Linked DNA regions of Oreochromis niloticus. The protein of the gene in region 1 interacts with the protein of each later gene in a pairwise test. Links are inferred from orthologs where the notes say so. Each region holds a gene or a part of one and is shown on either strand. Other genes may lie near its edges. The genes, in order: rint1, lmo2, txlna and zgc:100829.

Region 1 (7,272 bases):
TGCTTAATTGGTAGTAGGCTTTCGAGCCTATACAGCTTGGAGTAAGACAACATGCATGAAGAGGATGATGTGGACAAAATACTCATTTGCCTAATAATTCTGCACTCCCTGTAATTATAAAGTAACATATACTATATCAATATAAACGATATTGTCACATCTTATATCTGGTATAAAAATATATCGATATATTTTAAAAACTCGATATATCGCCCAGCACTAGTTTCACCCCAAGTCCAGCATCCTGAGGCTGCACACTAAGCACAAGGAAGGAGGCCGGGGACTGGTGAGTGTCAGCACCACACAGGATGAGACGTCAAACCAGTGCAGGTGGTGGGAGACAGAAGGACTCTGGGCAAAATAACATCTCTGATGGACAGTCTCCCACCCCATGCATGTAAATGTTGCTGAACTGCAGAGCCTGCATCCTCGATGCATGAAGGAGCGTTTCCGCAGGTCCTTCCTCCCTGCAGCTGTCAGACTGTACAATCAAAACTGCTCCCAACAAACACAGATGTTTACATCAGCGCTGTCACTTGCACTATTTTATCATCCGATTCACACTACAACCTGGGTTTGCCTCTTATCTGAAATACATTTTATCTGTAAATAAAATGTATTTCATTTTATTTAATGTTAATAACTGTACAGTACTCTGTTTTTGTAACTATTGTCCTTGATGTAAAAATACATATATATATACATATATATATATATATATATATATATATATATATATATATATATATATATACACATGTATATATATATATATATATATATATATATATATATATATATATATATATACACATGTATATATATATATATATATATATATATATATATATATATATATATATATATATATATATATATAAAAAATTGTGTATGTTTCTGTTCTGTGCGCTGTTTGTTTGTATATTTTTTCTTGCTGCTGTTACAACCAAATTTCCCCTTGTGGGACAATTAAAGGATTATTTTATTCTATTCTAAACATCCACGAGTACATGAGGAAGAGGCCACAACCAACCGCGATCATCCGTTACAAAAGCAGATACAAACAGAGACAGAGCTCTATAAGCTCTCTTGAAGAGAATCCTGGATGTAACGCTAAACTTGGCATCAACAAATGTACCTTTCATTGGTACAACAAAAGACCTGCATGATGCACAAAACTGTTATTTCTTTGGAAAAGTACAGCTCTTGTCCCATTATGATCCACTGCTGTAAGAATAAATAATAACAACAAAGATGATTTTAGGTAGTGCCCGAAAGCACAGACACACTGTATGTTAGGCTGTCTGAAACAGTGATGTGCTCCTGGTGACTTATTTTCACTGCTGATTAAATGGAGTCAGTAACTTAGTAATAACTCACTAACCAGTTTCTGTCTGCTAAGATGAGACGATGAGCTCAGGGTAAATGAATAAAACAAAAACGTGTTTCTAGCGTCCAAAACAACAACAACAACTGTTCCTGTAATCACCATTAAAACCTTTACTGGGAAGAAGTTGGTGTGAATCCTTCAAACCACCGCATTAACAAACTCCAACATGAGGAAAAACAACGTTTTTAGCGATATTTAGAGATATTTCTGAGGAGAAAATGAAGCTGCTCTCCAGGTGTGTTCAAAGCCACCAGACAACAGGGGGTTTAACCCAACAAGCAGGAGTTTGTCATTCAAGTCTTTTTTGACAACACAGACTGGAAAGCGGAGAGAAAGAGCCGGAATAGACTCAACACAATCAAAACACTGACTTCTGGCAGTGGCTCATACCAGCGCCTCCCACTGGCTGCCTGGAGGAGTACAGTTTGATTTAAAGCTATATAAACTCTAAACTGAGCTCAAAACAAGGTACAGTATATACAATCACAGTCAAAAAATTTATTCCTAAAGAGATTTCTACCATAAATCTAATTTAACTATAAATAAGTGCATAAACTTCACAATAACGCACAAACGTGTTTCTCTGACACTCAAAACCTTTTGGCGAGGACACAGAAATGTGTGAAAATACAGTGTTATAGACGTCTTACATTTTTAGTTTACTGAGTAAAAAGGAGATATATAGAAACATGCACCGTCATACTGTTCCCACGCCAGTGTCCACATAACTGCACCACTACTAATCTCATATCACCTGTAAGTTATGTTGCCTGGCGCTGGGCCTGTGCACGTTTTCACTGAGCTGTGATTAGGAGACAGATGCTGGCTGGCAGCCCACAGTTCATTCAGTGGGCTGTGAGGTCACTGTGCAAATGTCCTGTTTATAAAGCTGCAGTCAGCTGAGACTGAAGAAGTCACCTGGATGATGACGAAACGTTTCTCCCACTGAAAACGTTCAGATGGACACAATCAGCCTTTTGGGAGCAATTACAGGGTTTGTTTGTTTTTAACTGTGAGACTGGGTTGCCAAATTTCCGAAACAATTCACGGCCGTAAGGGTAACACCTGTCACGATGTTACTGACACAGCGAGCAGGACAACATCTCACGCGTGTCTTCGCTGTGTCTCGGTATATGTGATGATTTCTGTGCGTTGTTTCGTTCACCTGTTCCTTCAGCGTGTTGTTCTGCTCGGTCAGATGCTCCATCAGCTCACCGACGGTCTTCGAGCACATCAGCTCGGTGTCTCTGTCCTCCAGGAAACCCGCCACGAAGTCCTCCGCAGATAAAGCTTCGCGGTGTGGTGCTGCCGTGTAAGCAGGCTGTGGGGAACATGCTGTTATTTCACTCTCTGCTCGCTCTGGCGTTCCTGTTACGGCCGCCGCCATTTTTCCTGTCGAATGCAACGATCGCCTTCCTCGGAGGCGCTCGTGAATTGTATTTGGGTAACCCGCGGGAGGAGGTCACGCGTGCAGCGGTCACGCGTGGTTACACACATGCCAGACTTTCATATTAAATCTTCCTTTATAGATTGTCTCACATAAAGTGTGACCACGCGTGTCTTGCTATCTTGTAAACTGTAGCCATTGCTGCTGTATGGCCCGTGTTTATTTCACTAACACGAGGAGTACGCTGGAGGAGAAAACAAGCCCACAGTTGTCTGAAAACGCTTACGTCACAGATGGCACCGTCCGCTACACGTCAGCACATTCATTCATGGTACCGGGTCCAGCACAGCTGATTCTAGTATCGATACCAAGTAAATACAGGGCCGATACCAATACTATTGAGCTACAGAGGTACCTTAAGTAGGGGAGCGCGTGTCATGATTTATGACATGACTCATCACAGGTGTGCAAATTCTGAACACAACTTAATGGCCACTAAATCACTGAGATTCTACAATAATGAATAACACAATGAAAACACACCTTTCAGCCTTTTGTATTTGGACGACTGAGCTGTAAATGTGTCTGTCTCCAACACACAGCTCAGGCTGTTTAAACGTGCTGTTGGCTATAAACAAGACACAAGATTCAGACATTTTTCATACTGGATGTTTGAGGTATATTTATTTAATTCACAAAAAAAATATAATTCAGTGAATTTAGACGATAGAAACAAAGTATCTATCACACTACTATCGATCCAATACCAATTCCAGTGTTGTTGTCGATACTATTAATAATTGGATCAATGTGCCTGCCTCTAATTCATGGATAAAGATGTATAGTGCTATTTACCTAAGTACCTGAGCGCACAGTTAAACTGTAGCATAATTTCTGAGTGTGTGTAACCACACTTGCAAGTTTCCATGCATTAGTTAACTATAACTGGATATATGGTCGAATGTTATGTCGTCTGTCTGTCAAACTGATCTTCAGAATCAGAATCAGAATACTTTATTGATCCCTAGTGGAAATTATTTCATCTCGATCTTTGTGACCATTCTGTAGAACAGATGTACTCTCTCTCCCTTTCACTTCCTGTCTCAGCCTAATGTTTTTCATGTTAGCGCTTCTATTTTTCACAAACACACACACGTGTCTCATTGTCATTTTTGAAGTGGATTGTGAAGACCAATATAGGCTATCTATTAATTTAAACACTGGAATCCAAATAAATATTTTTAAAAATGCAAGGAAAACCATTAGCACTGCAGGTGACCTATTTGTTAACAGTTGTCACGATTCTCATCACAAATTAGCACTTCTGGTGTAAATATCTCATGAACAAGAGAAAGCCATGCAGGTTCATTGTAATGGAAAACTCAGACTGAATAAAACATAATTCCCAAGTCATAATATATGTCATCCACAGCAATATATTCAATTCAATTCAATTCAATTCAATTCAATTCAATTCAATTCAGTTCAATTCAGTTCAATTCAGTTTTATTTACACAGCACCAAATCACAACAGCAGTCGCCTCAAGGGGCTTTATATTGTAAGGTAGACCCTACAATAATACACACAGAAAAAAACAGCAATCAAATGACCCCCTATGAGCAAGCACTTTGGTGAGAGTGGGAAGGAAAACCTCCCTTTTAACAGGAAGAAACCTCCGACAGAACCAGGCTCAGGGAGGGGCGGGGCCATCTGCTGCGACCGGTTGGGGTGAAAGAAGGAAGACAGGATAAAGACATGCTATGGAAGAGAGACAGAGATTAATAACAGATATGATTCGATGCAGAGAGGTCTATTAGCACATAGTGAGTGAGAAAGGTGACTGGAAAGGAAAAACTCAATGCATCATGGGAATCCCCGGCAGCCTACGTCTATTGCAGCATAACTAAGGGAGGATTCAGGGTCACCTGGTCCAGCCCTAACTATATGCTTTAGCAAAAAGGAAAGTTTGAAGCCTAATCTTGAAAGTAGAGATAGTGTCTGTCTCCTGAATCCAAACTGGAAGCTGGTTCCACAGAAGAGGGGCCTGAAAACTGAAGGCTCTGCCTCCCATTCTACTTTTAAATACTCTAGGAACAACAAGTAGGCCTGCAGTGTGAGAGCGAAGTGCTCTAATAGGGTGATATGGTACTACAAGGTCATTAAGATAAGATGGGGCCTGATTATTTAAGACCTTGTATGTGAGGAGCAGGATTTTGAATTCAATTCTGGATTTAACAGGAAGCCAATGAAGGGAAGCCAAAACAGGAGAAATATGCTCTCTCTTTCTAGTCCCTGTCAGGACTCTTGCTGCAGCATTTTGGATCAGCTGAAGGCTTTTCAGCGAGTTTTTAGGACATCTTGATAATAAAGAATTACAGTAGTCCAGCCTGGAAGTAATAAATGCATGAACTAGTTTTTCAGCATCACTCTGAGACAGGATATTTCTAACTTTAGAGATGTTGCACAAATGGAAGAAAGCAGTCTTACATATTTGTTTAATATGTGCGTTGAAGGACATGTCCTGGTCAAAAATGACTCCAAGGTTCCTCACAGTGTTACTGGAGGCCAAGGTAATGCCATCCAGAGTAAGAATCTGGTTAGATACCATATTTCTAAGATTTTCAGGGCCGAGTACAATAACCTCAGTTTGATCTGAATTAAGAAGCAGAAAGTTAGCGGCCATCCAGGTCTTTATGTCTTTAAGACATTCCTGCAGTTTAACTAATTGGTGTGTGTTACCTGGCTTCATGGACAGATAGAGCTGCGTGTCATCTGCATAGCAGTGAAAATTTATGCTATGTCTTCTAATGATGCTGCCTAAGGGAAGCATGTATAATGTAAACAGAATTGGTCCTAGCACTGAACCCTGTGGAACTCCATAATTAACCTTAGTGTGTGAAGAGGACTCTCCATTTACATGTACAAATTGGAGTCTATTAGATAGATATGATACAAACCACTAACCCTTGCCTTCTATGAGCCAATCAGCTTCCACTTTGTGTGTTTTAAATCTGTACTCTCCATCCCCCTCCCTTTCAGACCTTTCAGATTGGTCAAGCCGACCTACTCCCTGTCTCCAACTCACAGACACCTCAGTCTGAGCTCCATCCAAGCCTCTGACTTCATCACCATGAGTTTCCAGACTCAGAGGGGTCGGGATATCAGGTACAAAGATAGTGAGCACAGGGACTCCCCAAGGCTGTGTACACAGTCCACTCCTGTACACCCTCTTCACCTATGACTGCGTCCCCTCCCAGAGCAACACCTCCATCGTTAAGTTCAGCCCAGCGACACAACCATCGTCGGGCTGATCACTGCTGCAGAGGAGACTGCTTACATGGAAGAGGTGGCTCAGTTGGTGTCCTGGTGCCTGGAAAATAATCTCTCCTTAAATGCTGAGTAAACTAAGGAGATGATTATTGACCTGAGGATGAGGAGAGACCAGCATGCCACACTATAAATCAATGAGACTCAGGTGAGAAGGTGAAGACCTTCAAATTCCTCAGCACACACATCAGAGAGGATCTCACCTGGACCCATAACACGCGACAAATCATCAAGAAGTCTCAGCAGCGACTCTTCTTCTCAAGGAAGCTGAGAAAATTTGGATTAACCCCCAACCTGCTCAGCACCTTTTACAGATGCACAGTGAAGAGTATGCTGACAAAGTCCATCACAGTGTGGTACGGGACCAGCACCACTCAGGACAGGAAGGCTCTGCAACATGTTATTAAAACATCTGTGGAGTACCCACCCCACCCACCTACAGCACACACTGTTCACACTCCTGCCATCTGGCAGACACTACAGAGTGTGAAACCAGGGACAATCCACAGGCCATCAGGCTACTGAATCACTGACTAATTGTTGAACTGTGATTACGTTTAACCTGTAAATGTACAATTTTGTACATTTATATACAACATAACACAACTTCATACAATATAAACACTTTAATATTGCATACTCTGTATATATTATCACTGTGACAGTATTGCAACTACTTTGCACTTTTTTCTGACTACACCCACACACAAGCTACAAATGCTACAAAGCACTTGTTTGACTTCATTTATTATTTTCTATGCTCAGGGTTAAATTTAGTCTTTATTTTAATTAGTTGTTATTCAGTTGTGTGAAAGGAACCTGCAAAGTAAGAATTTCATTGCTCTGCGTAACCACTCGTGTTTTGCGGTTATATGACAATAAATGGCCTGTATTTGTATAGCGCTTTACACTACATTCAGTCATCCACCCATTCACACACTCACACACACATTCACACACTGGTGATGGCAAGCTACATTGTAGCCACAGCTGACAGAGGCGTCCCAGGGCAGCTAGGCAAACAGCAAACTTCTTGAATCTATGTATTTTTAAAAAATACAACAATTAAAGGCTGAAACACAATAAAATGAAATGCATATATATGTGAATTTTATTCTTTTTTTAATGATAATAATACATTTTATTTTAAAGCGCCTTTCAGAACAC
Region 2 (7,202 bases), on another chromosome or scaffold:
ATGCATTATAAAGCCTGCATTGGAAATACGAAATGTCTATCAGTAGTCCATTCCCTTTGAATCAAGGGGAAAGAAGACATCCTCCTAAACCATATTATTATTGTTGAGCTTGGTCCACTCAAAGATGTCCTGCTCGCACACAATGTCTGAGTTGATGAGAAGGTAACGATCACCCACGCAGAAGTGCTTCTGGCAGGCAGCGCACTTGAAGCACTCCAGATGGTAAACCTTGTCCCGCACACGCATCGTCATCTCGAATGCTCGGATCCTCTTTTCACAGGAAGCGCAGAGACCGTCCTGGCCAAAAAGCCTGAGTGGATGAGAGGGCATCAACATGTTACTGGGAGGAAGATGGAAAACATTTACTCGCTCTTAATGATGTGAAGCTGTAAGAGAGACTGACAGTATCTCCATTAAGGTACTCTGGATCTTTCCCCTGAGCCTGAGGGATTGAGCTGTTAGAGAGGAAATTAGCCATCACCAGTGCTTCACAGACTTTTTCTATCCTGCTCTTCTTCAGAAGCTGAAAATGTCACACAACCACCCACGATTTTTAGCAATTATTAGCAATAATAAATGGATCAGAGCTGAATTTCTGGGAAATGGTGCAAAAGTATAGAAGGACTGCATTACCTGCTTCTTGTTTGTTTATTTTACACATAAGTTCTACAGATTTGCTTTACTTTCGGTCCATATTTTTCACCAAGTCATCCACACCCCCTCATGCAGTGGCACTACACGCCAGCAGGGGGACCCAGCACACAGTTTGAAAACCACTGAGCAACACAAACTTCATTTTGCAATAAATAAAGCGGAAATGCATTGTCATTAAAGCAACACATATCCTTAAAGTGGTGATGCAGGGCATTCACAAGCCAGGTCCGATCATACAGGTTCGGCCACTGATTGATACTACATATTTGAGAGGAGTACCCCAGTGCATCTGCCTGAGTTTGTATCTCAGGCAGAGATAGGTTAGGTAAATGTGTTTACCTGATATGTGGCTGTGCACCACACAGCTACATATCATATCAAATTTTAACATTAGTTCTTTAACAAAGACCTGCCTTCTTCTCCTGAATCTATTTCAACTTGTCCACACTTTCTTCAGTAAAAAAGTTACAGGTAGAAATAGGTTAGAAATTTCTATACTTGCTCAAAGTGTTTCTCCATGAGCCTTTAAGGTGTGATAAAAGATATACATACTAGTGCATCTCAAAAAGTGCTTCTTTTTCTGTGTGTAATTTAACTAAAAGGGTGACGACCTAATTGATTAATTCATAATATCACTACATTACACCAACTGAACCAACCTGAGGTAATCTCTCCGACACAGTTTTCTTCCCAGCTTGTAGTAGAGCCGGCGGCCCACCTCCCCCAACCGACAGCCACACAGATCACAGCTCAGGCAGTCCTCGTGCCAGTACTGCTCGATGGCCTTCAGGAAGAATCTGTCACCAATGCTCTGCTGACATCCACCGCATGTCAGCAGAGATGGAGGCATCTGGAGGACCTCATCCACCGGTTCCCTGGAAAAAGAAAAAAAAGCAATAAGGATTTAGGGCAGCATCAAATTTTTGTTTCCTTCATCAGTTAATCTGCAAAGGTTTCCCTCAGTTGTGTGATTGGTTAGTTAGTCAGTGTGACATGCAGGTCTCCCAAACAGTTTGCTAACTGATGAATCAAATACTGGAATAGAACTGTTCTAGCTCTGACACATACTTACTGGTGACCTGTTGATATTTTGCTATTATTATGCAATAAACAAACATTTCCTGATCTAAAGGCACAGTTAGTGTTCTGCATCAATATTCACACTGTGTTGTATCTAATAAGTGCTACACAAACACATGTATATCTTTTCTAATGATTTCAGCTTTGATCGGTCTCTGAGCTGGAGCTGTGTGCGCAGATGTGTTTTATTCCCGTCCACCTGAGGGAGCCATTGGATATTAAACCGCTAACTAATAAAAAGTATGTCACACAATATTGGGTTGTTTTTTTTAAATGTCGATTTACGCTAGGAGTGCCTTAGCGCTCCACTTTTTCTTAACTTTTTCCTCGCAAGACCGATTAACCGATTCGCACTACAACCTGGTTTGCCTCTTATCTATAGTTATTTATATTTAATTTAATAACTGTACAGTACTCTCTGTATATAGTAACCATTGTCCTTAATGTAAATATGTAAGAAAAATTGTGTATGTTTCTGTTCTGTGTCCTGTGTACTGTTTGTTTGTATATGTGTCTTTTTGGCTGCTGTTACAACCAAATTTCCCCTTGTGGGACAATTAAAGGATTATTCTATTCTATTCTATTCTATTCTATTAACATTAACACATCACTCTGTTCTTAAACTTTGACATTTTTAATCTAACAGCAGGAGACTTCAGACCTTATGCTACCAGCTTTCTGCAGCTGTCTCACCGGAGAGTTGTGGCTGTCCCGTGAGTGCTGATGCGTCACGGATACTTTTACTTGAATCAGAAATGACATTATTTAACATCATTCATTGCTACTTACTCGCTGGCCTCCAGCGTCTTCCTCTCTATCGTGGATGTCATTCTTCAAAGATGATGTCCAGCCTGGTCCACTGGCCAGCAAGCTCAGTGGGGACCCGCGAGGCGAAGCTGCGTGCGGGCGCTGCACCTGCTCCACCTCTGGGGCACCACCAGCACCACCAGCAGCCCGCGTCAGGCTTTCAAACGTGTTCAATCGAAGGCAGCTGAGTCCAGACGAAATGGCCGCAAGACGAGAAGTGTTCGCTTTAAGCGGCTAAGCCGTGATGGAGGACACTGTCATCATTTCCTGAGGCAGTGACCCGCGGAGAGACTTCGCGTCTTTTTTTCCAAGTGTGTCTCCTCACCCCGCAGGGACTTTGCTGCCTGTCCGCTCTTTATTAAAATGCACACGCCGTGTGATGCGATCAGAAGGTCACTTACGTGGCTCTCCGTGTTCGTGCCTTTTCATAGGCGTGCGAACCCACATGAAGCCGCGGGCACCGTTATTGTGCAGTAGCAGCAGCATCGTGTTTTAAATACACCCCCCCCACCCCTCCCCGCGCGCCCTTCCCCTCCTCACACCCCCTCTCTCTCGCTAGTCAGGCTGTGCTTTCGTTTCCCTCTTCCTGCTCACGACTGTTTGACAATGGGGGGAAATCGGTCTTAAAGCGACAGCTTAACACGGCCTTGCTCTGTCAGGCGTGGAGTGGGTCGTGACTGAGGCTAATGATTATTATGCTTTGCTTCGCCAGAGTGCAGATAAGACGAAAGATAAAGAGTGGCACGGTCTAATTCTTTGGGGAGGAGTATTTGTGTTTTCTCTCATAATTATGCCCCAGGTGTTGCCGGTTCTAAAAGGTTCTGACGGTCACTTTCTGTAAGGGTTCAGACGATGATGGTTATCACTGCGTTAAGTAATGTGAACTTGAATTCAGTGGATTTATTATATTATACTTAGAAAAAAATTCCAAGGACTTCATTTTACTTCCTAAAATGTGATTTTATATTTTAGAGGTCCTACATAAACACACAGCTGAAAACACAATTGCCAGGGCCTTTTCAGACAACCAGGGAAGTCCCTTACTTTTTATTTTTATTTTTGTTGCGTAACTTCTCTGTAATGTAATCTTAGATCACTGATTATGCACAAGAGTATTTTCAGACAGTTTGAGCAATAACTTTGCATCACATATCTTCTAAACTAATAATTTTTAGGTTAATTGGCGTGGCTGTAGTTTAGGAGGTACAGCAGGTCACCTACTAATTGGTCCGATCCCTGGCTGCTCCGGTCTGCATGCCAGATTATCCTTGGGCAAGATCCTGAACCCGAAGTTGCTCTCGAAAAGTGAGGAAAAGCACTTAAGTGTAGAAAAAAAAGTGCTTGTATGAAGCACTATATAAGTAGCAGTCCATCCACCAGTTAACTCACTAGTAATTACTTTAATGTTAATATTTCCATCTGACGTTTTAACAATTATGTCAACAGTAAAATTCTGATATGTGTACTTGCTGATTCTTTACACAAAGCTCAGAGAAATTGTGAAGCTGGAGGAAGATATGATTAAGCTGTGCTTAGAAATAATCCAAAAAAAAAGAGCTTGTGAAAGCTGCCTCTGTGGGGAATTAATGCATTGATATTTCTACATAGTTGGTGTCCTCATGGCTTTTCCTTTTCAAACCAGAGCTGCTGTGGGCCCTTCTCTTATCTACTGCCAGTGCCTCAGGGCCGCCTGTAGGAGGGAGGGACACCGACAGCAGTCTGACTGGACAGGGAAGATAAAGCACCTAAACTCCAGCACCCAGAATCAGTTCTGCAGCCAAATGTAACAGAAAAAGATCACAGGCGAACTCTAAGATGAAGGCTGAAAGCATCCTTGGGCCACACAGTTGGAGAGCTGAGTAGACTCACTGGATTGATACCAAGCTGAGAAAGCCCAGGAGCAAGGTGAGCATGGCTGTTGTGTGCCAGCTACGCAGAAAGCAGAGCAGCTTGACAGAGATAAAACTCAAACTACAAATCCTTCAGATGAGAAACACGTTCAGATTTTGTACAACACAATAACACAATGAAGGGACCATTTTGACTATAGTGACTTTAATCTTCACTAAATAAAAATGTCATGCAGTTAATCCCTCTTGCTTATATACAGTGCGGGAAATCATTATTTTATCCCCTGTAGATTTTGTAAGTTTGCTCACTTACAAAGAAATGAACAGTCTCTAATGTTTGTGGCAGTTTCATTTTGATAGAGAGACAGAATATAGAACAAAAATCCAGGTTGGTTCCCACAGATTGACTGCTTGCCATGTGGCACATAAACTACAATCAGTCAATCAATTACAGATAATCCTGATCTCAACTTATTATGTATACAAAGCACAACTATCCACTGAATCATTTTTTTTTCCATTCCAAGACCAAAAATCTGGCAAAGGATGTCAGGGACAAAAATTTAGTCCTGCATTAGGCTGAAATGAGCCACATGACCATCAGCAAGAAGCTTGGTGAGTAGATAACAACTGTTGATGTGACTATTCAGAAATGGAAGAAATATAAAATGAGCATCGATCTGGAGCTCCATGCAAGATCTTGCCTCAAGGGGTGAGGATGATCATGATAAAGGTTGTGGATCAGCCAAAAACTACACGCGAGGAGATTGTTAATGATCGGAAGCAAGTCGGGACCACAGTCAGAACACCATTGTCAACACACTACACTATAATGGATTGAAATCTTTCACCCGCAAGAGAAGTCTTGGGAGAAAGAGCTGTGGTCAAATGAAACAAAATCAAGCTCTTTGGCATCAAGTCAACCAGCCATGTTTGTAGGAAGAGAAGTGAGTATGACCCAAAGAACACCATCGTCACAGTCAGGCATGGAGGTGGAAACATTATGCATTGGGTTTATTTTTCTGCTAAGGGTACAAGGCAACTTCACTGCATTGAGGAGCAAATGTATAGGAGCATGTACTATAAAATCCTGGACAACAACCTCCTTTCCTCAGCCGGAACACAGAAGATATGCTGTGGATGTGTCTTCCAGCATGACAATGACCCAAAGAGATCACCAAGGTAATGAAGGAGTGGCTAAAGAAGAAGCATGTTAACATCTTTGAGTGGTCTAGCTAGTCTTTAGGCCTCAATCCTATAGAAATTCTGTGGAAAGACCTGAAGTTTAAAGTTTCTAAGCAGCAGCAACGAAACCTAAAGTATTTAGATAGTTTATGTAAAGACTAGTGGGCCAAAATCCCTCCTCAGATGTGTGCAAACCTGACCAACTACAAGAAATATCTTAGTGCTGTTTGCAACAACAATTTCTCCACCAAGTATTAAGTCAAGTTTTTCTTTCTTTCTGGATGTTTGGTCGACATTCTGTCTCTCTCCATTAAAATAAAGCTACCATAAAAAATAAAGACTGATCATTTCTTTGGAAGTGAGCAAACTTACAAATTCAGCAGGGGATCAAGTAAGTATTTCACCCATATGAACAATGCAATTTTCCCTTGGTATTGTAATCAAATGATTTGCACTATTCTTGAGCTTTCAATGATGTCAAATAATCAAATAATGAATTAAATAGCTAAAGTTTTATTGACTGAGTGCCAATTTACGGTGCCACATATCAACAGTTTCATTTAGCACTGACTGTGCTAAATGGTGGTGGTTTGTAATAGTCTTTTTTAGTTTTTGGTATTTTAACTTTCTCCTCTCTGAAACAATCAAACAAAGGAAATATTGAGGCTCACAATCAATGCTACCCATGAATACATGTGTAGTGATAATATTTGAATCCTTCCAGATTGCCACGTTGCATGAACACAAAGCACATGAACAAATTCATGACAGATGAGAAACACAAGAGAGAATACAAAATCAGCACTGACATGACACAAGTCATCCACTACTTCCTGTGGAGTTGACTGAGAGAGCCCAGAGGATGTTCAAACTGGCATGCAGAGATGAAGCTTTCCTGAAGGGTTGGTGCACATTGCATTCACTTCCTACCCCCCTACATGCACGATGGCACCCTTCTCATGGTTTCCCAGATAGACTGCTAGACTCCAGATGGCTCGGGGTGATAGGAGAAAGTATTCTCATAGACAACTCGAGGCTGTTGTGACTGGGTGGTAAAACCCATATCTCTGTTCTAACGCTTCTTAAATGCCACCAGAAAGGAGCTGCACTTTACTGTAGATCTGACATCCATGTGTCACCCTACTTCTGTAATAAAACTGAAAGGCGGGGGATTTTCACACTTCATGCTTTGAACTTTATAGCATTTAAAATAAGGGCAATAGTGACCTTTTATGTGAAATGTGGTTTGCTATTTTCAGCTTTTATTCCTCTCTGGGGTACAAGTTGGGGAGCAAACAGTTAAGAGTGTAGACAACCTTTAGGGAAGTGCATGTCCAACTTCCTGTTTTGCCTGTTTTGTACTGAGAGCATTATGGAGTTGAAAGCAGTGTGGAATGTCGGGGGGAAAAAAAACATTGCTGCTAAGCAAACAGTAAAATCATACAGAAGCTAATCATTTCAGCAAAGAATGGGAATTTATTTCCCAAGAAATAAAATATTGAAAGTTCTTGCAGGCAAATTTCCCAAAGTAAAAGACTATGGACATGGTGTTGACTCTACGATTGTGCAAACTCTGGAACAGCATCAGTAAAAACAACTACTTCCTGTCCAATCTAAAGTGAAATG
Region 3 (7,817 bases), on another chromosome or scaffold:
GCAGTCATAAATTTGCATTTTTAGTTGATTACTCACAATCTTTCCACTTGGATCACTCCTTGTGCAGGGCGCTCACGCTAATTTCTCCCACTTATTCCTATAAATCTGGCCAAAACACTGAACACACTTCCCCCTCTTACCTAGACCCTTCACTTTTTTCTTCTCCTGAGTTTTCTTCTGCTGCTTTCCCACACCGCTGTCACCACCATTGACTTTGCTTTCCTCTGGCTTGTCATCTTCCCTCTCATTGGTCAGGCCATTGAGCTCTGGGCTGTGTGACTGGCCGTTAGCTAAGGCGCTGGCGTCGTCTGAAATGCTTTCCCGACAGTAGGTGCTAAGGATGTCCTCCAGCTGCCGGCTCAGCTCCTCTGCCATGTCACACTGAGACAACGGAGCCTCTGCAGTTACACAGAATGGAGGGGAAAAAAATGACTCTAGCTGCTTTTCTTCTTCTAAAGTCAAATATGTTGCAGTTTGGTTTTTCAGTTCATAATAAAAAAAAAATTTTTAAAAACAGACAATGTAGAATTCGACAAATATAACGAGAGAAATATGAAGCTCACTCCCTACAAGACCATGTCAGAAATACTCCTTTAAAACAAAAAAAAAACCAAAAAAAAAACACCTAGATTATCAGCTCAGCAACAGTTTAGAAGTTTAGACAGTTTATTTACAATATCTTGAAAATAAATGAGAATCTTTAATTGATTTGTGATTTTGAGATGCTTTTAGGCACCGTCCTCAACCACGACGCACATCTGAAGGCCTGTGACTGGCGTTATCATCACAGATGATCACATGGTCAGCGTTTCTACTTCCTAACTGTCACTTTGGCCATGCTGGATCTCACTTAGCAAATTAAAGGCTTAAGAATAAGAAAAATGAAACAACTAATAATAATAACAACAGCAAGCAAACTATTCTAAGCAGTGTAGAGTCTGCAAACATTAGTGGTGCCAGCATTATAATATGGAGCCGGAACCTGCTATTAGTAAATTCTGCCAGTAGACTATCATTGTCCGTATCTGCTAACACTGCTTATGATGCGTGCATCTAGCATGGCACTGAAACTGATGCAGAAGCACTTCATAGCTGGAGCTTGACAACTGAGATGCAGAAAATGAAAGAGGCACTGAGCTTTTTGATTGTATACTTTGTCATACTGCTGCTAAATGCTGTTTGTCTGCAGAGGGTCTATTGTAGGGTCTACCTTACAATATAAAGTACCTTGAGGCGACTGTTGTTTTTCACAGCAGTATTTGAATTTATCAGTGAGGGGATAACTTTTCCTCAGTATAAAAAAAATAATTATCCTAGCATCAATATCAGGACTCACAAATGTCAGAAAATTCCTGGAGGGAGACTGCTGAAACTATCGGAATGGACGTGAAGGAATGTACACTAAGAGGGAAAACTTCCCTGAAAAAAAATTGACCACAGCAACAAGCGAGGACCCAGGAGGCACTGCATGTGAAACACCGGGACAAGGCCCTATGTTAATTAACAAATAATGCATCAGCACCAGCATAAATGCACTTACATAGGTTACATCTTAGGCTCTACAAAGATTCCCCACAGAAGTCTAAAGCAGGCCGGAGAGTGCAACCCCCCCACAGCTTGTAGTGGGAAGGACACACTAACTAAAGCACTGGATCATATGTTGCTATTAGCAAGCTTCCTTGCTTCAAATCAGAATAAGAACTATCACCACCAACTCCCAGGCCAATTAGGTAGACAGCAGATGAATAATTTTCAAAAACGAAAGATTTTAGAGCAGGAATTTCTAAACTACAACAGTCAACTGAAAAAAAATGTGTATGTGTGCCTCCTCCTCTCACAGGGACTAAACAGGTACATGTACCCTTCTGGCTGGCAGGTTAATCAGTGAAATAGAGAAAAAAGCTCTACTCCTACATCTTGGTTGCTTGGTAGACATACGCATGCACAACTGGGAAACAAGATGACAAACTTGAGTCACAAAGACTGATGATAGGAAGGTTTTAGCCTACTATATAATCTAGTCCAGCTGGGATTGACATGAATTCAAAGTTTACCTCCCCCTGCCCCCTCCTCGCCCTGTGGCGGTGTATCCGTCTGTGGTGTCTGTGGTTCAGACTCTTTGGGGCTGTTGCTTTCCAAGCTGTCCTTTGCAGCTGCAGGTGACTCTGTCCCTGCTGCTGCAGCTGTGGGTGGAGCATTCTCAGCAGCCTGAGTGGTGGACTCTTCGGTATCTTGTTTTTTCATCTCTTGTTACCTGTTACAAGGAGAAAAACCTGCCATGGTTAGCTCAGAGGGATGGAATGTAATAACAGCAAGTAGACTTATTTATTGAGCAACACTTAATCGTCAGCGCAAATGAGTCATAGAACATTAAACGTAATAAAGTTTCTCTTTCCTAGCCTAATAAAGCCTCGGCTGTATGGGGACACAAACAAAGTGGCAGCAGCCGAACCACAAGCGAAATAAACCTGTAGTTACTCCTGCTAGCTGTGCTCCTGCGCAGTGCAGTAACGTTTCCTGATGGACTTGTTTTTAAGTTTTGGTTTTAAGACAAGCTCCGCACGATTGGTTTGGTGAAACCTGAACTTTAGCCTGGAAATTCATATCCATTTCTATCCTCCAAACATTAAAGAGTAACTTTTTTTAGCTGCTTTCTTTTCTACCGTGCCCTGTCCCCATTAGCTTTCACTTTGCGTTAGCTAGCAGAAGCCGCCAGAAGCAGCTAAACTAGCTTACACAACTGCCAGGTAGCCACTGTGAGCTCGTATATATCGGGCACAAACTACTAAAACAAGAAGGCACACTACACTGCTACTTGCTTATAAATGATACATGTTGTTTACAGGTAATATACAACTGTTTACCTTTAGAGTCAAGGAGGAAATTGCTAATGTGTCTGTAGGTTTCCTTAACAGCGTGAGACAGAAAAAAAAAAACCTCACTTCCGGTAATAACTTTGGGTTCTTCTTCTTCTTTGAGGTTTATTGGCGCTCGGCAAACAACTTGTTGGTGCTTTATCGCCACACGCTGATCAGGAGGGTCAATTACAACGTTACAAAGCAGCCCCTCAGTCAAATTAACTAATGCTGAAATTAACTAATGCTTAAATATGGCGTGATAACACATTTACTGATAACATTTTCATCGTGAGCTTTTCAATAAATTGAGTTATTTCTTCCTATATTTCTTATAGCATAGCATGTGTTCTATTGTTTTCTCCTATCCACAGTTGTAACTCTTGCCTGTTTTATGTTTCCCTATTTTAAACAGTGCACGTCAGGGGTGTCAAACATAAGGTCCAGGATTAGCCGGACAAAGACCCACTGGGTGCATTTGGAAAATGTGATGAAAGACATGAATTTTTGGACTTATAAATATAATTTAATACATTTCGCAGCTTTTCTTACCGATAAAGATCTTCCTCATGGCTATTTTAACTACAGCAAATTAGTTAAATAACAGGTATTGACCATAGAAATTGTAATTTTTTTTTTTTACAAAGGGTCCACAAAAAAGGTCATGTTCTGTGAATTACCAGAAACTTTCTGTTTCTGGACCATCTGAGCTACAACTGATGTTTTTTGTAATTTTATACATTTACTTCTTATAATTTAAGCCCAAAGAGTCATACTGAAAGACTGATTACAGTAGCATCTCTTTATCACTGAAAAACAGATATTCAGATACACATATTATTTTTATTAAGATGTCCAATTGATTAAATAGTAGTTCAATTCGTGTACAGAAGGGGGATTTTCACTGGTTTGTCCCACTTAAGATGAAAATAGAATGAGTTTGACATTCCTGGTGTACGGTTTAGTTCAGGGTGTAAAACGCTTTTACAGATGTGTCCAAAAAGCAATTTCTGATGTTTCTATAAGTTTTCTATGTGTAGTACCTTTGCTTATAATTTTAAATAGAGGTGTCAACATGATTCATGAAGGGGTTATATATAAAATAAAGAAATGAACTGTATCTTTAAATCTTTAAATTCATTATAACCAATCCAGTCCTTTTTGGTCACAGTGTTTGCTACTCTCTTTGCCAGATCTCTCTGGAAAATACATTTTAATGTCAGTCAGATGCTTTACCAAGCAAAGCCACTTTGCCAAAAACTAATTGCAGCTTCTACCTTGTGACAGGAATGTCCTCTCGGGCTCAAAATGACTTGATGTCATTCTGCCAAACATGTGTTTGCCACATGTTTGGCAGAGCATAGGCCAACATATCATTTTAAACCAACTTTATTGAAAGTTGCATTGGGATCAAACACCACTGTGTACTTTTTGGGAGTAACAGACAGACTGAACTTAGATCAAAACTCACCATATATTAATAGATTTGTTCAATCATTTTCCACCCAGTTTTTACAATAAAACCCCAGCTGATCTGCTGAAGGTTTCTTCCTGTTAAAAGGGAGTTTTTACTTCCCACTGTCACCACGTTGTCTGACTGTTTAGGTTTTCTTTCACTTTTTTTTAAAAATTTTACCACCAATCACTTTTTGGCACAACTGGTTCCATCCTGCTAACTTTATTTATCCCAACTTGCATCTGTATTGTCATCTTTTCCTCCTCCCGCTGATTTTGCAGCCTTTCTTTCAGTTTTTGCTCATTTCTGTCTCCCGCTGCAGCTAATTGCTTAATCAATTAAAATGCTTTTTGTTTCTATGTTTGAAAACCTTGTCTGACATTTTGTTTCTTTTTATATCATAATGGGCTGGTACACATAAATGACTGAAAGCCCCATCATACTGCACCATAATCCTGCAATGAGAAATTCTGGATTTTTTACTGACCACAATCATTTGTATAAATATAACTGCGGTAAATTTAAGTATGTTCCTGCCTGTGCTGTATGTGCAAATCCTTTTAATGCTAATGATGTGTTTGATGTTTAACTGATCTGTTTCCATTTGTGCTGCTTTCTGTCACACTGCCCTACCAAGCTTGTTCATTTTCATTCTCTTTTCTCCTTCCTCCATCAGCATGTGTGGTGTTGGTGTTGATACAGTAGCTTCTTCCTGAAATTCCTACTTCATGAGTTGTTGGGATCTACAGGATTCCAAGTATTTTTTATTCAAATAAAAAGAAAGAAAGACATAGACTGTATATTTAAAAAAATCCATATGTTAGTATGACCTTGTTAGCCATTTCTGTGTCCAAACTGAGTTCAACTGAGTTTGAAGTTAGTACAACATCTTTAGATGGAAAGTAGCGAGCTATGCTCTGACTGAAGGATTTCTAAAAACCTGAAACATACAGCTCTGCTTTCACTCTAGATGGAAAACTAAACAGCAGCAATGTTTGCATGAAAGCTGGACTACCTGGTGGCTACTACAGAGCTCTAGTCCCATTGTCATGGTTAACAGAGCAATATAAACAGCACAGTTAATGGTTGAGAGTCCCTGATGGGCAGATAAATGCAACGGCAGGAAAAAGATGATGAAAATGGACCGAATGTAAAAGACCAGCCTCTGAGTGAGTCTTTCCTGAAGACTTCAAATATTTACCATTTGACAAACTGTCAACCCATGGGTTGTAGCATCTTAAGGCCTAAAAAACCACCTACAATAGGTGAAGAGTGTCTGAAAGTCATGTATACCTTACACAGGACCTGAGGGATCCATCTGCTGTTCACTGAAGCCTCATCAGAAATGGTCTGAGTGGAAGAATGGCTTCCAAAAAGCCAGTCTTAAGGAGGCTGAGCCAAATTACACAAGAACTGGACTGTAAAGTCAGTGGCAACAGGTGTGCTGGAGCAATTAATCCAAATTTTAATTTATTTTATGTGAGCAGAGCACAACAGTAAGTGCCTACAGCCATCTATAAAACATGGTTGAGGAAGAAAAACTGGCGAAATTCTGAATGCAGAAAATATGATTTTGATCCAGCATGCAGTCTCCATCTGGAAAGTGTCTGACTGGCAACAGCTTTATTTCTCCGCATGAGAATAATCCCAAACACACTACCAATGCAGTAAAAGCATACGAGCATAGAAGAGAGAGGGAAAAAAGTCAAAACACTGTTGAACACGATCAGTCATGACTGGCCTGTCATTGTGCGATCAGCTTGACAGGTAAAAGAACAATAGCTTTGAATGTCCTTCAGTAAGTCTGGAGAACGACTCCTGAAGAAAAATTTCCTTTGAGACATTAAAAGAAAGTTTGTCTACGAGAGTTCTGTGTTTAATACAACTGGTGACACCCAATCCTGAACATCAGGCTTGTAAGAATTATACCAACTGTTTTTGCCTTCTATGGCATATTTACATTAATGTTTCCACATTTCAATAATTATAAATCTAAACAAATTATGTTTCACATTAAATATCACCGTCAACATTCCAACATGAAAGAACACTGAGGAAGAAAAACTCATTAAAGGGTTGCAACATAACTTTATTGGATTTGTACAATATTTCCACTGAACAGTTTTTTTTTAACTCTATGATTTCTTTACATTTTTTATATTGTTGCCATTTCCTGTATGCATCTTTTCTTCATGTTCATGTTTGTGTGTCATGTTCAGTTTTGAAGTGTACTAGTTTCTCGTCGCTCATTCATACCGTCGGTAAAAGTCAAGTCGAGTCACAGTTTAAAGATGGGTCGTTTGGAGCAAATGAAAAACCATAAACAAGAATAGAGAAAATAAATACGTGTAAAAGAAATGAGAGGACCAGAGCAGAAGCACGACTGGTCAGTGATGGCATATGAAAAGTATTATTACAAACACGAAGCATTGTAAACATTTGTAGCGTAGACGTTGCTTTAGATTTTGATAAAGACACCAACAGCTCCTAGGACGGAAGACACGTCAGATTTGTGATTTTTAGTGATTTCTGTTCAATCCCCGATAGATTACAAGATTCCTGATCACGCAGCCTGACGAGGAACTTTAAACACATTTATCCAAAAATATAGCCCAGAATATCCTGATCAGGAAAAAGATCAAGAAAAGCAAAAACAAAAAAGAGAAGCTTGTATCCTCACCACCTATTTTTTTTTTTTTTTTTCGTGTGACATGTTCTAATGAGGCTTTTTCTCCACTTCTTAGAAGTGATTAGAATTACATCTGAATCCCTGTCAATGTATCAGAACATACATATAGTTTAAATTATAATACTTTTAATGTAAATCATTGTACTATTTCTGAATCCCAGATTTATTTAAACTTCTTTTGTTTTTATCTTAGAAAAATGTCAAGTAGTAGCCTGTGTTCGCTCCACCCAGTGGAAGGAGTGTCACCTGTGAGAGCTGCTCTTCCTGTAGGTGGGCCTTTGCCTCTCGGGGTGGCTGATTTTCTTTTTTTTTGGACAATGTTTTATTGCAGTCTTCTGGATTAATCTGCACATTTTTCCAACTCCTTAAAGAGCGCCTGAATTTAAGAGAAAAGAAAACTCAGGAGTGAGAGAGCATGCCATCTAGTGCGGCTTCTAATGAAGAGAGGCAAGGTTTAAACGGCCTGAAGGAATCTGTCAGTCATTCTGACCGGGTCGACACAAGCCAATCACATAAAGTCATACAAACTAAACATCAAGGAAATTTTTCAGCCTTCTTGAGGACAAAACTTTGGTAAACTAACGTGGACAGTTAGGTCAGTACCTGCATCTGTCTGCCCTGACAGCTGCTTAGGATTCCATTATTTGCATTATGTGCCACATCATTACAAAGTTTGTATCAGTGCAGAATTTTTTTTTTTTTTTTTTTTTGCAGAGGGCGACTGGCTGCAGGTCGTGACATCATGAATATGAACCCACTGCTCATCTGTGCACAGTGAAAACTATTAGAAGACTGTTACAGAGGGGACCATCACACC
Region 4 (7,289 bases), on another chromosome or scaffold:
ACCAGACAGAACACATCACTGTGTCAATCATCAACTGGCTTTAAGTCATGCTGTGATATCACTGTGGTTTAAGTAACTGCTGCACTCATCCAAATAAATTAACTTTGCCCCTGTTGTTTGGATTAAGGTGATAGAGCAATTTGTTATGTTCATGTTGTTACGCAACGCCCTTCTTCCAGAAGTCCTTAATACAAAAGACGTACAAGAGAAAATGCAGACACGCAAGATTTTGTCAAACCAGTTTCACGACAGGCTTGCAGCTTCCTGAGTTTCTGCTTGTTTTGTTTTTCCCATGCATACTCTCACCACCTAGGTTGAGCAAAAGAATTTACCAAGTATGGGGAAAAAGACAGTATTTGTTATCATATCTTATGTCAGCACCTGATAAACACATGTACTCTTCGTTTAACTTGTAAATTTCCCTACAGAGGCGTTATTTTGCCATCTCCTCCTGTCCTGTGGATGTTTTCTTCTGACATTTATTTGTCATCAAATACAGAATTCCAGATATGAGCAACATCTGGGACCTCACATTGCAATGTTTCAATTGGAAATAAAATGATCTAATTTAGAGTTTCTGTCTGTGTGAATGAGGCTCAGAAGACAAGGAAATTAGACCATACGGTCAAACTATTTTCACCTTGTGGAGGGTGAAGCATTTAATAAAAAGTGCAATTATAACAGATATTTAAATAAAGATCTGCAATAGTTTAGGACGAGCTGTAGAAAAACAAAACAACCCCCCCCCCAAAAAAAAACAAAACAAAACTTATTTTGATGCTCACTTCATGTTTTGACAAACAGCTGTTCAGGTAATTGGGAGCATGCAAACTCCAGCAGCTTAGGATATCTGTCACAGCCAACGTACACATGCTTCAGTGGTTCCCTTATCAAGCTTTGTAACGCTCTATCGGATAATTCTCAGCACACTACTCATATATCTCGACTCCAAGGACTCCAAAAGCGCTTGCTCAGAAGAAAACAGATGGCTTCCTGTGGAACCTTTGTGAAAACGTGACAGTCGGAGGCCTGAAAAACCTGAAGCTGCACCCTGCAGCTTCAGATTCGAGATAAACAGGAAGAGGGAAGGTTAAAAAGGGTGAGGTGGCGGCTGTGGTGGTGATGGATCAGTGTGGTTACCTTTTCTTGGCTTTGCTCTCTTGGACTCTGCGTCGCCCCCCTCTCTCTCCAGTTTCTCCTCCCGCTCTTTCCAGCGCCGCACCTGCTCTTGGCGCATTTTCAGGAACAGTGTCTTTTTCTGCTCTTCGTTAAGGGCTTCCAGCACCTCAGGGTCAATGTACATGTCCTTTAAGATCTGCTGCAGCATGTTGGCGGCCGAAGGGTTGGTGCGTTAACCTGGTACCACTTGGCAAGCAGTTGAAGCTTGCTTCTCGTAGTGTACAGTGTGTAAGGATGATTTATGGTCTCATGTCAGCAGAGGACTTTTGTAGCTTCTTCTTTGTCCCTATAGTCACTCTTGAACTCATGAATTAAGGCTCTTGCTCTTTCTACACATGCTTTTGTACAGGCTGTACTATCTCACACATACAAACTCTGTCTGTCTGTCTTTCTCTCTCTCTCTCTCTCACACACACTCACAAATCCTGCTTCCTTTCTATATTGTGCTCAGTTTCCCCATCAAGATGTCAGATTTCTTTGGAGGTCATCTTTGGCACAATCTATGAGAAAAACAAAACACACAGTAAAGATCATCTTGCATGATTTTCAAAGCTGCAGTGTCTTACATATTTTCTTAAGAAACTTCTTTTCTTATTTCCTAGAAATATCTAAGGCAGTTGTCTTGTCCTTCCCTGCATGAATACGGAAGAGCCCAAAGCCAATTTCAACACTTTACAGAAAGTCTGCTACCCAGAATGGGAGGAGATTCCAAAGGAATGGGACTGCTTCTGACATCAGTGTCCCACCCTGCTCCTTCCTCTCCCCAAAACCATGTTCGTTTCTCTCTAAAACTCTCACAAGATAGCGGCCCCCCGCCTCTTTTTTTTTTTTTTTTTTTTTTTAAAACATGGCCAGTGTCTGGTTGTAATGAGGGATAAAAATCTGGGTCATAGCACTGGACAGCGAGAGCCAGGTTGTCTAACAAGAGGATTGAAATGGACTCCTCCAGTCACAGTGGGTAGTTAAACAATGGCTACCACATAGGCAGCACTTGGAGGGAAAGAAAGCTCGTCTCAGACTGAAAACTATCACACTGGTGGAATACAGATTGGTGTCTGCTAAACACACCGCAGGGTGCAGAGAAGGAAACCAAAGAAAACAGGGGGGAGGGGGTGAAGTGGAGAAAATGAGTGCTACAAAACAAAAAGGGAGTTGCAAGAGAAGGTTAGAATTTGCTGAAGTACTCACAGTGGGATGTAGACAGCCGCTCCACAGCAGAGTATGCTAACTGAGCTGAGGGAGTCACAGCGCCTGTGGGTCCTCCTCGTCTTTGTGTGTATGACTGAGCTGATGACATCACAGCATTCCATAATCTCTTTACCTCCCTCTCCCTTCCTCTCTCTCTCTGACAGCCTCTCTCTCTCTCTCTCTCTCACACACACACACACACTAAGGCTACATTTAAGGCCACATTTCAACTTCCTGAGTTGCTCTCAGGAAGTTGAACTCTCACTTTAAATATGCTAGAAAGAAAGGCATGCGTTCATGTTCATAACACACGTATTTTACATATCTTCAAAACATTTTCGCTTACACATATAATTCTACACAAACAATATTAAAAAAATGCAACAAAGAAAAAATAGCTCCCTTCCTCCTGTATTTTCTTCCCTTTTAACGACGCCTTTTAATTAAGAAATGCTATTTGCTAACGTTTGCGTTTAGCATTACCCAAAACTTTAGCACAGCTTCTAGCATTATGTGAAACAACCGATGTGCCTTCTAGGATTTATGCAAGTAACTGTTTGCTGTTCAATTTACCATGTCTGTTGATAGTTTGCACATTCAAGCCAGAGGAAATTTTCTCAGCTAAGCCTGTCCTCCTCTGCTTATGAGCCACTCATTTTTAGGTAAAGAGCGGCCTCTAGTGGTTAAAGCAATTACTGTGATTTTAAAAAAAGAAAAGGAGCCTGCCATGGATTACGTCACCACCCAAGCCAGTGCTCAACTACCTCAGACTACAGCACTAAATGAAAGCTGGATAAAAACTGGTGCTTGTGCACACTGACCGCATGGCTCCATAAATTTCAACTGCAAAACAGCGTAAATATACAATGCATGCAGACACCTGCACCTGAAAGGTAACGACAGGCAGGATGCTTTTGTAGCAAGCCATTTGTTATAGTCAGCGGTGACAAAGTGCTCATGTGATAATGGTCATGTTTCAAAATTAATAAAATGTAAGTTCTCTCATAGATTCAAAGTGTGGCACCTTGGATCAGACTAAACACCATCAGAACACTTTACAATGTGTTTTATGTTTAATAAGGGAATTTTTGTTTGATTAAATGGGGTTTATCCTTGTTTGGATGCTTTAGTCATGCTGTGACGACAGAGACCAGTTCTCTGTGTAGATTCTGGGATGAGGAGCAAAGTCGGAGTGTAAGCTGGCATCTGGGCTGGAGTCCATCTCGGTATAGCACATCCACTTCAGTTCTTTCACCCTCCATCCCATCCGGCAGGCTGGGACTATCAACTAACAACAAAGCACAAACATACATATGTCCTGGAGAAATACCATTTGGGCATGTCTAGAGAATGGACCTCGCAGCTCGTTATGCTGTATTTACTCTTATGTGGGTTCTGCTGATAGGAGACTGGTTGAAGCAATACAAATGTACTCCATGTGGATGGCCCAGAAATAAATCTGCCTCTATGCTCCATGATTTAGGACCTAGAAGCAACCCAAAGGGTGCTGCTGATATCACTTGGCCAATTTTCAGAATTTACATAATGATAATTAACATTTTCTATGTCATTTCATTTTATTAACAGAATTAAACCAAGACTTCAACTTGTTACAGGGAATCAGTTTTACTTATAAATAGCTATAAACTCAAGAATACTGAGACGCATCCTAAAAACATTTGGAAGCAACTTTAAGCTTTTCTTTAACTTTGATTTTTAGCTTAAATCCGACACCAAACGTATTAAAAAAGAAAAAAAAATAAGAAAGAAAAACAATCATTACAAAAATTTAACTTAAAACATGTGCAGGTTCTGTTGGGTCACGATCAATAAAGTCTTATTTTTTTGGTTTTTAGATTAACAGAAAAACTCACAGAAGAGCAACTGTTGCATACAGATGATCACAAATTGCATAGTCGGGATAGTCAGAGAACAAAGTAACGCTTTATTTTACAGCCTGGTTTTACACATACAGTACTATTGTAGAAATCTCTAAGAAGACATGAGTCATCAGGTACTCGCCATTGCAAAATTTGCATTTTATAGGCTGTAAAATTAAGCTTTAGCAATTAGTATCATTGCAAATGTATAATCAGACATTGTAGACAACACTACATAAAAATTAAACAGACTTTTCAGTGATTTCCCCCACCCCCATCCCACAACAAGAAATGAAACATGAAAAACACATACATTTTGAATGTAGATTTTTTCCCCCTCATGGGTAAATTAAATTTATTCTTTTTTTATAATTTGTCAAATGTACATAAATTATATTGAATGCATCAAAAACCAAATGAGCAAATCAAATAACCTCATTTTTTAAATAAAAAGAGGTAACAGAAAAGAGAACAACATTCTTTGTTGAGATCATTTTTAAACAAGTATTGGTCAGGCATTTCATTAACCTGGGAAAGCAAAGTGCTACACACAACAACCACTGAAGACAGTTCACCATACACCTTAATGAGGATTGGACTGAAGCACCTTTTCTTAGCTTAAAGCTAAAATGGAGATTCCAGGGATTTTTTTTTCTTCTTTTTAAATTTTCCTTTTCACAAAAAAAAAAGAAAGAAAAAAACAAAACAAAGAAACAAACAAACAAAAAAACTCCATTGTATGTTTACAGTCTACCTTGAACAAACCATTAACCAAGTTTACCCTTTTCCTTGAGAGGGGCATACTTGCAGGGACAATGTTCGATTTCAAGTTAAAGTACGTACGTGAACTGCTTGACTCAACAGGCTGCTAAGACCTTGGTTTACTATATTTTCCTCCAGGATGGAGCTTTGTGTGCAAATAAAGGCGTACAATTCCTTCATGAGAAATAAACATGGAATTCAGCCATATGCTTTCAAATAGTAATCATATATTTAATTGATATACATATATTGCCACCATTGGCACATATGATATTGCACACAGTGATGAAATGTTGCACAGAAAGAAAAAAAAGATATTTTTGTGGGCAAAAACATTCCAAAATTACAAATAATGTGGAATAATGCTGAAAAGGTAAAACTACATAAAAACAAACAAAAAAAAAAAAACAAACAAAGAAAAAAAAAAAAAAACACAAAACAAAACAAGACATGCTTGCTACTCCCCATTAATTGAGCAACTTACAACTTACACATAACTAACCCAAGCCATAAAACGAGCATTTTAAGGGGTGGGGTGGGGCTTTCCCGTAACAATTGATACCATTTCAGGCCACTACTGATGTTCCCAATCAGCCCCTGCTCTCCCTGCTAATGCACATGGCTGGTGAAGAGCCATCTCTTCTGCATCATCTTGCATCTAGGTGACCACCCCCTTCCATGTTTACATGTAGGCCGATACCTGGATGGCTAGGGAATGGGGATGGCAATAAAGTCGAGGGGAGGGAAGCTGAAAGGTAGCAGAAAAAAGTTAAGAATTCTGCTCCTATTTTTCTAAAGAGTTTGTAACAAACCCTTTTAGCACCACGAGTCGTGCGCTAGCACACAAGGGGGCTGAGACACAAGAAATAGAAGAAAGAGGAGATTTGAAAAAAGAAGTAGAAGAAGAAGAAGAAGAAGAAGAAAACAAAAAGAAGCCATAACTGCGATCCAAAGCACCAGGCCAGCGTGTAAGCATGCGGAGTGTGTAAGGCACCAGGTTGTTTATATGCTGAAGAGGATGCTCCCAATCAGGTATCATTTAGGCTATACCAAAGGCTCCAAAAATAGGTGGTCAAGGACAGTCTAGTTTGCTGGTTTCCAGTCAATCTAAACATGGGAGCAATCATTTAATTCAATGCTGAGGTAAATCTGACATTATCTGATTGTTGCCAGTTTCTCTGGAGTTTACTGACAGAGTTTATAAAACTGCTATCACACATCTATGAGATGCGACTGAACTGGATTAGAACCAGTTGTTTTCCGTGTGGCAGCCCAAATATTTACAATTAGACCAGAACAGAATCTCATCACCCCAGGTGGGTATTTGGGCTTACAAATCTAAAGCAGAGCTATGAGAATGTATCCAAAGTAGCCCCACACTGAACTTCACACCCTAAGATCTTAAAACGCAAGAAAGGAATGTGCACATCCAATGACATAACAGACATTCACCAACAGGTGAACCAGGCTGTCTTCACCTCGGCTAAGCCAGGCAAGCGCCTCAGTGGCCCTCCTCATAGTGTGATGGTGACATTTCGATTACTGTTCACAAGGTCGCTGCTTTTACAATCATGCTTTGAAACAACTTCCACTAGAACTACACCGAGCCTTTTGGATGGTAATCCCCCCCCAGTCCTCGAACTTGAGATTCATACAACATAGGCAGATAAAGATACGTATGGAAGGGTCTTTGAGCCAATATTTTGGGAGACCAACGAAATCGTAGTGCAGATAAACATGCAGCAACAGCACTCCTTGGCACCATTTAGACTTTTATGACTAAACAAGATCACAAAAAGTTTGTTTCATATGTACTAACCGATTGCGCTCTTCTGGTTTTTACCATGCCAATCAACACAGTATATTCAGGGTCTTTTGCCTTGTTAAATAATCTGCAGTTCAGGCCATTTGCTACATGTTGTCTCTGCATTTCCTCTATCAAATACACATTTAGTACCTTTAAACTGAACACATTGCATTAACAACGAGACACAAAGGTAGTCTATTATATATCCATCTGCATGGCAACAATTTCAACTGAAACAAAAGTTACAATATTAATATATCTTTGAATGCCTCTGGCAAATGTCAAGATCCAATGACCAGTTCCTTATATGCAATGCATATTGCACAATAAATAGAGCACTTATTTCATTTCATGAAAATGCCTACACGTTCCTTTGTTTTGTTTTTTTTAATATATATATATATATATGTACTGCATGAAATCTTATCAGTTTCCGAAGCAGGCCTAGCCCTCATATGATTTATGTGTAAACA

What was found.
Region 2: the proteins of rint1 (region 1) and lmo2 interact in binary tests that used the Homo sapiens proteins (3 or more experiments, as listed by UniProt). The two-hybrid records come from large-scale screens. The link is inferred for Oreochromis niloticus from reciprocal best matches to the Homo sapiens genes RINT1 and LMO2.
Region 3: the proteins of rint1 (region 1) and txlna interact in binary tests that used the Homo sapiens proteins (3 or more experiments, as listed by UniProt). The two-hybrid records come from large-scale screens. The link is inferred for Oreochromis niloticus from reciprocal best matches to the Homo sapiens genes RINT1 and TXLNA.
Region 4: the proteins of rint1 (region 1) and zgc:100829 interact in binary tests that used the Homo sapiens proteins (3 or more experiments, as listed by UniProt). The two-hybrid records come from large-scale screens. The link is inferred for Oreochromis niloticus from reciprocal best matches to the Homo sapiens genes RINT1 and SH2D4A.

What each region holds. Positions count from the first base shown.
Region 1 is NC_031981.2:447,155-454,426, reverse strand, and holds the start of rint1 (RAD50-interacting protein 1), read right to left. Parts: upstream 3,005-7,272; 5' UTR 2,778-3,004; coding exon 2,556-2,777; intron 1-2,555. UniProt on the Homo sapiens protein: Involved in regulation of membrane traffic between the Golgi and the endoplasmic reticulum (ER); the function is proposed to depend on its association in the NRZ complex which is believed to play a role in SNARE assembly at the ER.
Region 2 is NC_031972.2:49,579,368-49,586,569, forward strand, and holds the start of lmo2 (rhombotin-2), read right to left. Parts: upstream 3,017-7,202; 5' UTR 2,565-3,016; coding exon 2,524-2,564; intron 1,530-2,523; coding exon 1,314-1,529; intron 311-1,313; coding exon 85-310; 3' UTR 1-84. UniProt on the Homo sapiens protein: Acts with TAL1/SCL to regulate red blood cell development. Also acts with LDB1 to maintain erythroid precursors in an immature state.
Region 3 is NC_031985.2:30,555,163-30,562,979, forward strand, and holds the start of txlna (alpha-taxilin), read right to left. Parts: upstream 3,005-7,817; 5' UTR 2,865-3,004; intron 2,255-2,864; 5' UTR 2,245-2,254; coding exon 2,055-2,244; intron 399-2,054; coding exon 141-398; intron 1-140. UniProt on the Homo sapiens protein: May be involved in intracellular vesicle traffic and potentially in calcium-dependent exocytosis in neuroendocrine cells.
Region 4 is NC_031975.2:13,263,147-13,270,435, forward strand, and holds the start of zgc:100829 (SH2 domain-containing protein 4A), read right to left. Parts: upstream 3,003-7,289; 5' UTR 2,368-3,002; intron 1,680-2,367; 5' UTR 1,328-1,679; coding exon 1,141-1,327; intron 1-1,140. UniProt on the Homo sapiens protein: Inhibits estrogen-induced cell proliferation by competing with PLCG for binding to ESR1, blocking the effect of estrogen on PLCG and repressing estrogen-induced proliferation. May play a role in T-cell development and function.